2 linked regions of the Xenopus tropicalis genome follow. The protein of the gene in region 1 interacts with the protein of each later gene in a biochemical or structural test. Links are inferred from orthologs where the notes say so. Each region holds a gene or a part of one and is shown in the gene's direction. Other genes may lie near its edges.

What was found. The genes of interacting proteins can lie anywhere in the genome.
Region 2: the proteins of rbsn (region 1) and rab5c form a complex in vitro, tested with the Homo sapiens proteins (2 studies listed by BioGRID and IntAct, with this or other methods). The link is inferred for Xenopus tropicalis from reciprocal best matches to the Homo sapiens genes RBSN and RAB5C.

Annotation. Positions count from the first base shown.
Region 1 is NC_030680.2:132,257,206-132,261,521, forward strand, and holds the start of rbsn (rabenosyn-5), read left to right. Parts: upstream 1-1,456; 5' UTR 1,457-1,461; coding exon 1,462-1,614; intron 1,615-4,289; coding exon 4,290-4,316. UniProt on the Homo sapiens protein: Rab4/Rab5 effector protein acting in early endocytic membrane fusion and membrane trafficking of recycling endosomes. Required for endosome fusion either homotypically or with clathrin coated vesicles.
Region 2 is NC_030686.2:6,904,618-6,908,271, forward strand, and holds part of rab5c (ras-related protein Rab-5C), read left to right. Parts: intron 1-96; coding exon 97-248; intron 249-1,280; coding exon 1,281-1,403; intron 1,404-3,034; coding exon 3,035-3,128; intron 3,129-3,654. UniProt on the Homo sapiens protein: The small GTPases Rab are key regulators of intracellular membrane trafficking, from the formation of transport vesicles to their fusion with membranes.

The DNA of each region.
Region 1 (4,316 bases):
CCAAGGTACAAATTTGGGCTAGTTTTTGGCGCCTTGGCGGGTTTGTAGTTTTAAAATTAGCCAAAGGTTTTCTCTTCTGACATGCCTTTCCCAGTTCATGCTGGGTAATGTAGTTTGTATCTTACAATTAGCCTACAGCTAAGATTAATATAAAACTACAATACCCAGCATGCAATTATAGACAGAAGCTCCCTTTTCTATTCCTCTGTACTGAACCTGAAGCAGCAAAACTACAATACCCTGCATGGACTGGGCACAGAGGGCAGGGAAACATCCCAGTAACTGGAGAGGGGGCGCAGGGCATGGGTAGGGATTATACGCTTTAAAAAGGCATGTTTTTTAGAATTTTTTTTCATTGAGCATATTGGGCTATTTTCAAAGTGGCTTTTGGCTAGTTTTGGGCTGGTTTTAGAACTGACTTTGGCTGGTTTGTAAAAATAAATCTGGCAACCCTGCCTCTGGCCAAATCCAAGGGTTACAGGGCTGATTGCCCCCTCACGCTACAGCACTGAATTCAATCATATAGTGACTATAGTCAATCATATAGTAACTATAGTCAATCATATAGTAACTATAGTCAATCATATAGTAACTATAGTCAATCATATAGTAACTGTAGTCAATCATATAGTAACTGTAGTCAATCATATAGTAACTATAGTCAATCATATAGTAACTATAGTCAATCATATAGTAACTGTAGTCAATCATATAGTAACTATAGTCAATCATATAGTAACTGTAGTCAATCATATAGTAACTATAGTCAATCATATAGTAACTATAGTCAATCATATAGTAACTATAGTCAATCATATAGTAACTATAGTCAATCATATAGTAACTGTAGTCAATCATATAGTAACTATAGTCAATCATATAGTAACTATAGTCAATCATATAGTAACTATAGTCAATCATATAGTAACTGTAGTCAATCATATAGTAACTATAGTCAATCATATAGTAACTGTAGTCAATCATATAGTAACTGCACAAACTTTATTAACCCCTTCCCCCCCATAGAAGAGAATGGATAAGAATGAAATTCTAAGCAATTTGTATATGTAATTGCTACCTATAGCAGTGCCTGCCCAGCTGTTACAGTCTCTGCATTGCTTGCTCTGGCTCCCGAACTTAACATGGGAAACTTATTGCAAACAACATTTTTTTGGGGATCGCCCTTACAGCCAATTAGCACCACGCCCATTCCCATAGGGAAGCCTTAGCTACTGGGGTCCCAAAGCCCCACCCTAATGGCAGCTCGTTGTGTATTACACTAGTTTCCTTCCTGACTGCGACCATTACTTCCCCCCCCTGTCCCTCAGGCTCCCTCTCCCTCAGGCTCCCCTCTCCCTCCAGCCCACATTTCCCGTTTATCTCCTCACTCCTGGCCGTGCCTGTCACAGGCAGATCCAACATCCTCTCTTGCCCCGCCCCCTCCCCTAGCTCGGCCTATCGATGACTCGGCTATCTACTCCTATTTCTCAGGCTGAGTGGCAGCCCGGACTGGGACGACAGAGCAATCGATTCGGGAGTGACAGCCATGGCGCCCGGAGAACTGACAGGGAGTCACTATTGGAAGCGGCGGCTGTAGAAGAAGGAATTGTAGCGGTAGGTGTAGGGGTGGGCAGCTGGGTGCCAGACCTTGGCCTGTGATGGATACGTAAGGGGGAAGGACAGCTGAGGATTTGGGGTAGTGGGGGTAGTGTAGCTGTATCCAGGGGTGGAATGAACCCTCCAGCTGTGGCAGAATGCGACTCCCTGTATCGCTTTGTCAGCAGGGCTAGGGGCAGAATGCTGGGGTTGTACTGCTGCCAAACGCTCAATCTCTAATTCTGTTGTATTTAATTATAGAGCAGCTCAAGTGCAGTAATTATATATTGGAGAGTGAGTAACAATGTGTAAGTGCTGGGGGTTACAGCGAGTAACAATGCGTAAGTGCTGGGGGTTACAGTGAGTAACAATGTGTAAGTGCTGGGGGTTACAGTGAGTAACAATGTGTAAGTGCTGGGGGTTACAGTGAGTAACAATGTGTAAGTGCTGGGGGTTACAGCGAGTAACAATGTGTAAGTGCTGGGGGTTACAGCGAGTAGCAATGTGTAAGTGCTGGGGGTTACAGGGAGTAGCAATGCGTAAGTGCTGGGGGTTACAGCGAGTAACAATGTGTAAGTGCTGGGGGTTACAGTGAGTAACAATGTGTAAGTGCTGGGGGTTACAGTGAGTAACAATGTGTAAGTGCTGGGGGTTACAGTGAGTAACAATGTGTAAGTGCTGGGGGTTACAGTGAGTAACAATGTGTAAGTGCTGGGGGTTACAGTGAGTAACAATGTGTAAGTGCTGGGGGTTACAGTGAGTAACAATGTGTAAGTGCTGGGGGTTACAGTGAGTAACAATGTGTAAGTGCTGGGGGTTACAGCGAGTAACAATGCGTAAGTGCTGGGGGTTACAGTGAGTAACAATGTGTAAGTGCTGGGGGTTACAGGGAGTAACAATGCGTAAGTGCTGGGGGTTACAGGGAGTAACAATGCGTAAGTGCTGGGGGTTACAGGGAGTAACAATGCGTAAGTGCTGGGGGTTACAGGGAGTAACAATGCGTAAGTGCTGGGGGTTACAGCGAGTAACAATGCGTAAGTGCTGGGGGTTACAGCGAGTAACAATGCGTAAGTGCTGGGGGTTACAGGGAGTAACAATGCGTAAGTGCTGGGGGTTACAGGGAGTAACAATGCGTAAGTGCTGGGGGTTACAGGGAGTAACAATGCGTAAGTGCTGGGGGTTACAGGGAGTAACAATGCGTAAGTGCTGGGGGTTACAGGGAGTAACAATGCGTAAGTGCTGGGGGTTACAGGGAGTAACAATGCGTAAGTGCTGGGGGTTACAGGGAGTAACAATGCGTAAGTGCTGGGGGTTACAGCGAGTAACAATGCGTAAGTGCTGGGGGTTACAGGGAGTAACAATGCGTAAGTGCTGGGGGTTACAGGGAGTAACAATGCGTAAGTGCTGGGGGTTACAGCGAGTAACAATGCGTAAGTGCTGGGGGTTACAGCGAGTAACAATGCGTAAGTGCTGGGGGTTACAGCGAGTAACAATGTGTAAGTGCTGGGGGTTACAGTACACAATAGGGATGAGGTCCCTACACTGAAGAGCTTACAGTCTAGTCTGGAGCTTGGGATGCCTGGAGCTATTGGCAGGTACAGGGGAGCGTTGGCAAGGTGGGCAGGAGGGCCACAGTACCCCCATCAGAAACCAATATGTCCTGGGACCCCCAGACATTTGATTTGATGCCCCTATACATATGTTACATTTGGGGTCCCCATGCCACAAACAATGACATATATATATTCTGAGGGCCTTATTAATGACACTGTTCCATACCCGCCTATCACACAGCAGAGAAGCAGCACCCATAATGATCAGTTAATCATAAGAGAAGCATTAGGAGGTTGGTCAAAGAACCAATGGTCTGTCAGTCATTTGTATATTGGGTGACGCTAAACTGACCCGATTTGATGTTAAATTTCAATTAATATTATACTGTGTGGTTCTGAAGAATTATGTTGAGAGGTAGGCAATGGGATGGGCCAGTTATATCACTTTAGTGCCAATAATTCTTATTGACAGCCCACCCCTGGTCAGGGTGAATATTTCTAGGGGGGTGGAGGACACAGGGTATAGCTGTAACAAGAACTCCATGAATAGCCTGTTAAAAATATATATGAAATATTGTACCCCCTGTTGTATAATATAAGGATGCTAGAGGTCATTAAGGAGTTCCCTGACCTGTATAAAAAGCCTGCAGCCTAGGAACTGCCAAGGTAATCTGACAGATATAGCCTTCTGCTTGCCAAATAGACTTCTAACTGTATGGAAATGCCCTTGTTTGCCCAAGTACTTTTAACCCAGCAGCTATTAAGAATTAACAATTGAGTTGTTAAACAATAACTGGAATCTGTTTGCAGTCCTCAGCTGTGCCAGAGTCATAACATGCACACTAATACTTACCCTTGTGTTTCACTGCTTACCCCTGGTACATCCCCGGGGATCTCACCTTTGAGGTGGTTGCTGGTTTCTTAGCACCCCCCCCCCCTCCGATAATATTGTCTGAATTATAATTCTTTCTTTAAATGATGGAAGCATCCTTGTGCCGATAGTCAATGTCATGAAAAGGTGAATGTAAGGATTATATATGTTCTGTGGTTTGTATAACTGTCAGGGATATGAGAAGCTGTGAGAGGTGTTTTTCTGAATCGGATATATTCACTAATCATATCTTTACCCGACTTATTTAGGGCAGCGAGTGGATACCATACACCAGC
Region 2 (3,654 bases), on another chromosome or scaffold:
GACCTTAGCAACCTTACCAACATTACCCTCACACAATCATAATAGTGCTAATATGTATATAATAATAACAATAATATTATGTACTTCTATCTCCAGCTGCCTTTCTAACACAGACCTTATGTTTGGATGATACAACGGTGAAGTTTGAGATCTGGGACACGGCAGGGCAGGAGAGGTATCACAGTTTGGCCCCCATGTACTACCGAGGAGCCCAGGCAGCCATTGTAGTTTATGACATCACCAATACAGTAAGTGCACATTACATGAAATAATGCCCTATCTCTCTGCTCAGTCCTTGTCCTAATTGCCCCTCTCCAGAGAGCAGCCAATCACAGATCTGCCTCCACGCGGGGAAGGTCCTGCTGCTGGCTCTCTTGTCACAGACTGGGAAAGCAGCCAATGGGAAGGCTCTCTAGTACCAGCACTTTTTTGGATAAATTTTTAGTACAAAGTACAAAAGGCAGTGACTCAAGCAACTTTCCACTTTTTTTCCCCCTCAATGGTAAATATTTATTCTTGACATTATACGACAGATTTATGATTTTGAGGTTTTTTTATACTGCTTTTTTTCAGTTTCATGGAAAAAAAAACACTTGAATTTTTGCAAAATTTCAGATTTTACAGAAAGAGACCTAAATGTTCAATTTGTATTAAAAAAAAAAAAAGCTATTTTCAAATTTCAGTTTTCAAGAAAAATTTGACATTTTGAAGGTTTTAATAATAAAAGAAGATAGCAATTAAGGCAATTTTAATATGTTACAGAATGTACTATTCCTAGCAACTTTGCAATTGGTCTTCATTATTTCTTTTTTATAGTTTTTATTATTTGCCTTCTTTGTCTACATCTTTCCACATGGGGGGGGGGGGGGGGTCACTGACCCCCAGCAGCCAAAAAAACCTTCTTCTTACAATTGTATTTGAATTATTACTTTGTATTCCTTATCTTTTTATTTAGTCCCTCCTCTATTCATATTCCAGTCTCTCATTCACACCCACTGCCTGGTTGCTAAGGTAAACAAGACTCTAGCAACTGGGTAGCTGCTGAAATTCCAAACTGGAGAGCCGCTGAACTTTCAGTTCAGCGGCTCTCCAGTTTGTAATTTCAGCAGCTATCCGGTTGCTAAACGACTGACAAACTACAAAAAAAATAAAGACCAATTGCAAATTGTCTGAGAATATCAACGTCTACATCTTAGTAAAAGTTATTTTCAAGGTGAATGTTCTCAGTACAACACTTTTCTCTATGAATTTCTTTTAAAGCTCTGTACTTTGTTCTGTAGGAAACATTTGCAAGAGCAAAAAACTGGGTAAAAGAACTTCAGCGTCAGGCAAGTCCCAACATTGTCATTGCCTTATCTGGGAACAAAGCCGACCTCTCCAGTAAGAGAGCTGTGGATTTTCAGGTGAGCTTGTTTGTTTTTAAGAAATATCATACTAATGGTTTGGTTCACCTTTAACGTTTAATATGTTATAGATTGGCTAATTGTAAGCAACTTTTCAATTAGTCTTCATTTTTTATCATTTATAGTTTTTGCATTATTCGCCTTCCTGTTCTGCCTCTTTGCAGCTTTCAAATGGGGGTCACTGACCCCGGCAGCCAAAACTATTGCTCTGTGAGGCTCCAGTTTTATTAATATTGTTACTTTCTATTACTTATTTTTCTATTCAGCCCCTCTCCTATTCAAATATCGGTCAATCTCTCAAATCACTCCCTTGTTACTAAGGTAAATTGGATCCTAGCAGCCAGATAACTGCTGAAATTCCAAGCTGGAGAATTGCAGAACAAAATTAAAATAACTAAAAAAAAATCAATAATAAAAAAAAATGAAGACCAATTGCAAATTGTTTCAAAATAGCACTCTCTGTGTCATACTAAAAGTTAATGTAAAGGTGAAAAGTACACTTTTTAAAATATATTTACTTTTGTAAGAGAGAGAAAAATAAAAAATGTTTTCAGTATAGTTAGTTAGGCAAAAATGTAATCTATAAAGGCTGGAGTGGGCAGATGTCTAACATAATAGCCAGAACACTACTTCCTGCTTTCAGCTCTCTAACCTCTTAGTCAGTCAGTGACTTTAGGGGGGGGCCACATGGGACATAACTGTCAGTTTGCATTTGAATGTGACCCGTGTGCTCACAAACTAACTGAACACTTATGTCCCATATGGCCCCGCCTAAAGTCACTAACTAACTAAGAGGTTAGAGAGCTGAAAGCAGGAAGTAGTGTTCTGGCTATTATGTTAGACATCTGCCCACTCCAGCCTTTATAGATTACATTTTTGCCTAACTATATTGAAAATATTTTTTATTTTGCACAGACTGTCTATTTTACCCCGTTTCATTTTTACACAGAGCTGTTCCTTTGAAATTCTGTAGTCAATCCCAAGTCCATGCATGGCACTGCCCGGCCTGACTCTGTTATTTATATATATTCCCGTGCATCTTACCCCAGCCCATAGTGCTCTCCTCATTGTCTGCCCCTTGAACTACTGCCCTTCTGTGCTCCTTCCCTGTGCCTGCACTATGGGCAGAAGACTCATCCCTGCTTAGTGGAGCTCACCCTAGCAACGTATAGGTAAGGCTGTCACATTGCCTGTAGCTCATCCAGTCTCCTCTAGTGCACTCTCCCAGCTCAACCAATTGGCTAGTGTAAAGGTCCCCGTACACTGGCAGATCGCCAAGCCAGCGGATCTTCTCACGATATCACCACCTACAGGTGTGTAGGCCCGTCGGTAGTGCCCGTCGGTAGTGCCCATACACGGGCCGATTAGCTGCAGAATCTGTCTAAGGGACCCATATCGGCACCTACTATTGGCCCGTGTACGGGGGCCTTTAGAGCAGTGCTGTTATAATTCCCAATAGCTGGCTCCATGGATCCCTCCAGATGTTTCCTGTGCCGGCATATTTATCTATCTCAGTACTAAATGTCAGCTCCCCTCTGCTGGTTTTCCCAGTGATCTATTGTGTTCCAGATATATTGCTTCTAACTGATACCTTGGTTTATTTTGCTCACCATGGAATGTTCCATTTGCAGGAAGCTCAGGCATACGCTGATGACAACAGCCTGCTCTTTATGGAGACCTCTGCTAAAACCGCAATGAATGTGAATGAAATCTTTATGGCCATTGGTAACGTTATTGTGTTTTACTACTTCTCATGAATACACAAAAACTCCTTTCTGAAAACTCTCTGTACTGCTCTTTTTTTTACTGGTGCTTTTAGTTTATACCCGTTACTTGATGATTTATGCCTCCCTGCTTAATTTTTCTGCACAAAAGATCTACTCCAGCACTGGGGGGGGCTGAAAGGCTAATCTTGCAAGCAGTACTAGCACAGATTGTTATGTTGGTGACGGAAAGGCAGGCAGGTAGGCAAGGGCCACACACAGATTAGCAATTAAGGGGGAAGCAAAAAAAGGAGTTTGTAGTGCAGCAGAGGTTCATTATTGTACAGGTATAGGATCTGTTATCTGGAAACCGGTTTCCAGAATGCTTGAAATTATGGGAAGGTAATTTCCCGTAGACTCCATTTAAATCAAATAATCCTTTCTTTTTCTCTGTAATAATAAAACAGTACCTGTACTTGATCCCAAATAAGATATAATTACCCCTTATTGGGGGCAGAACAGCCCTATTGGGTTTATTTCATGGTTAA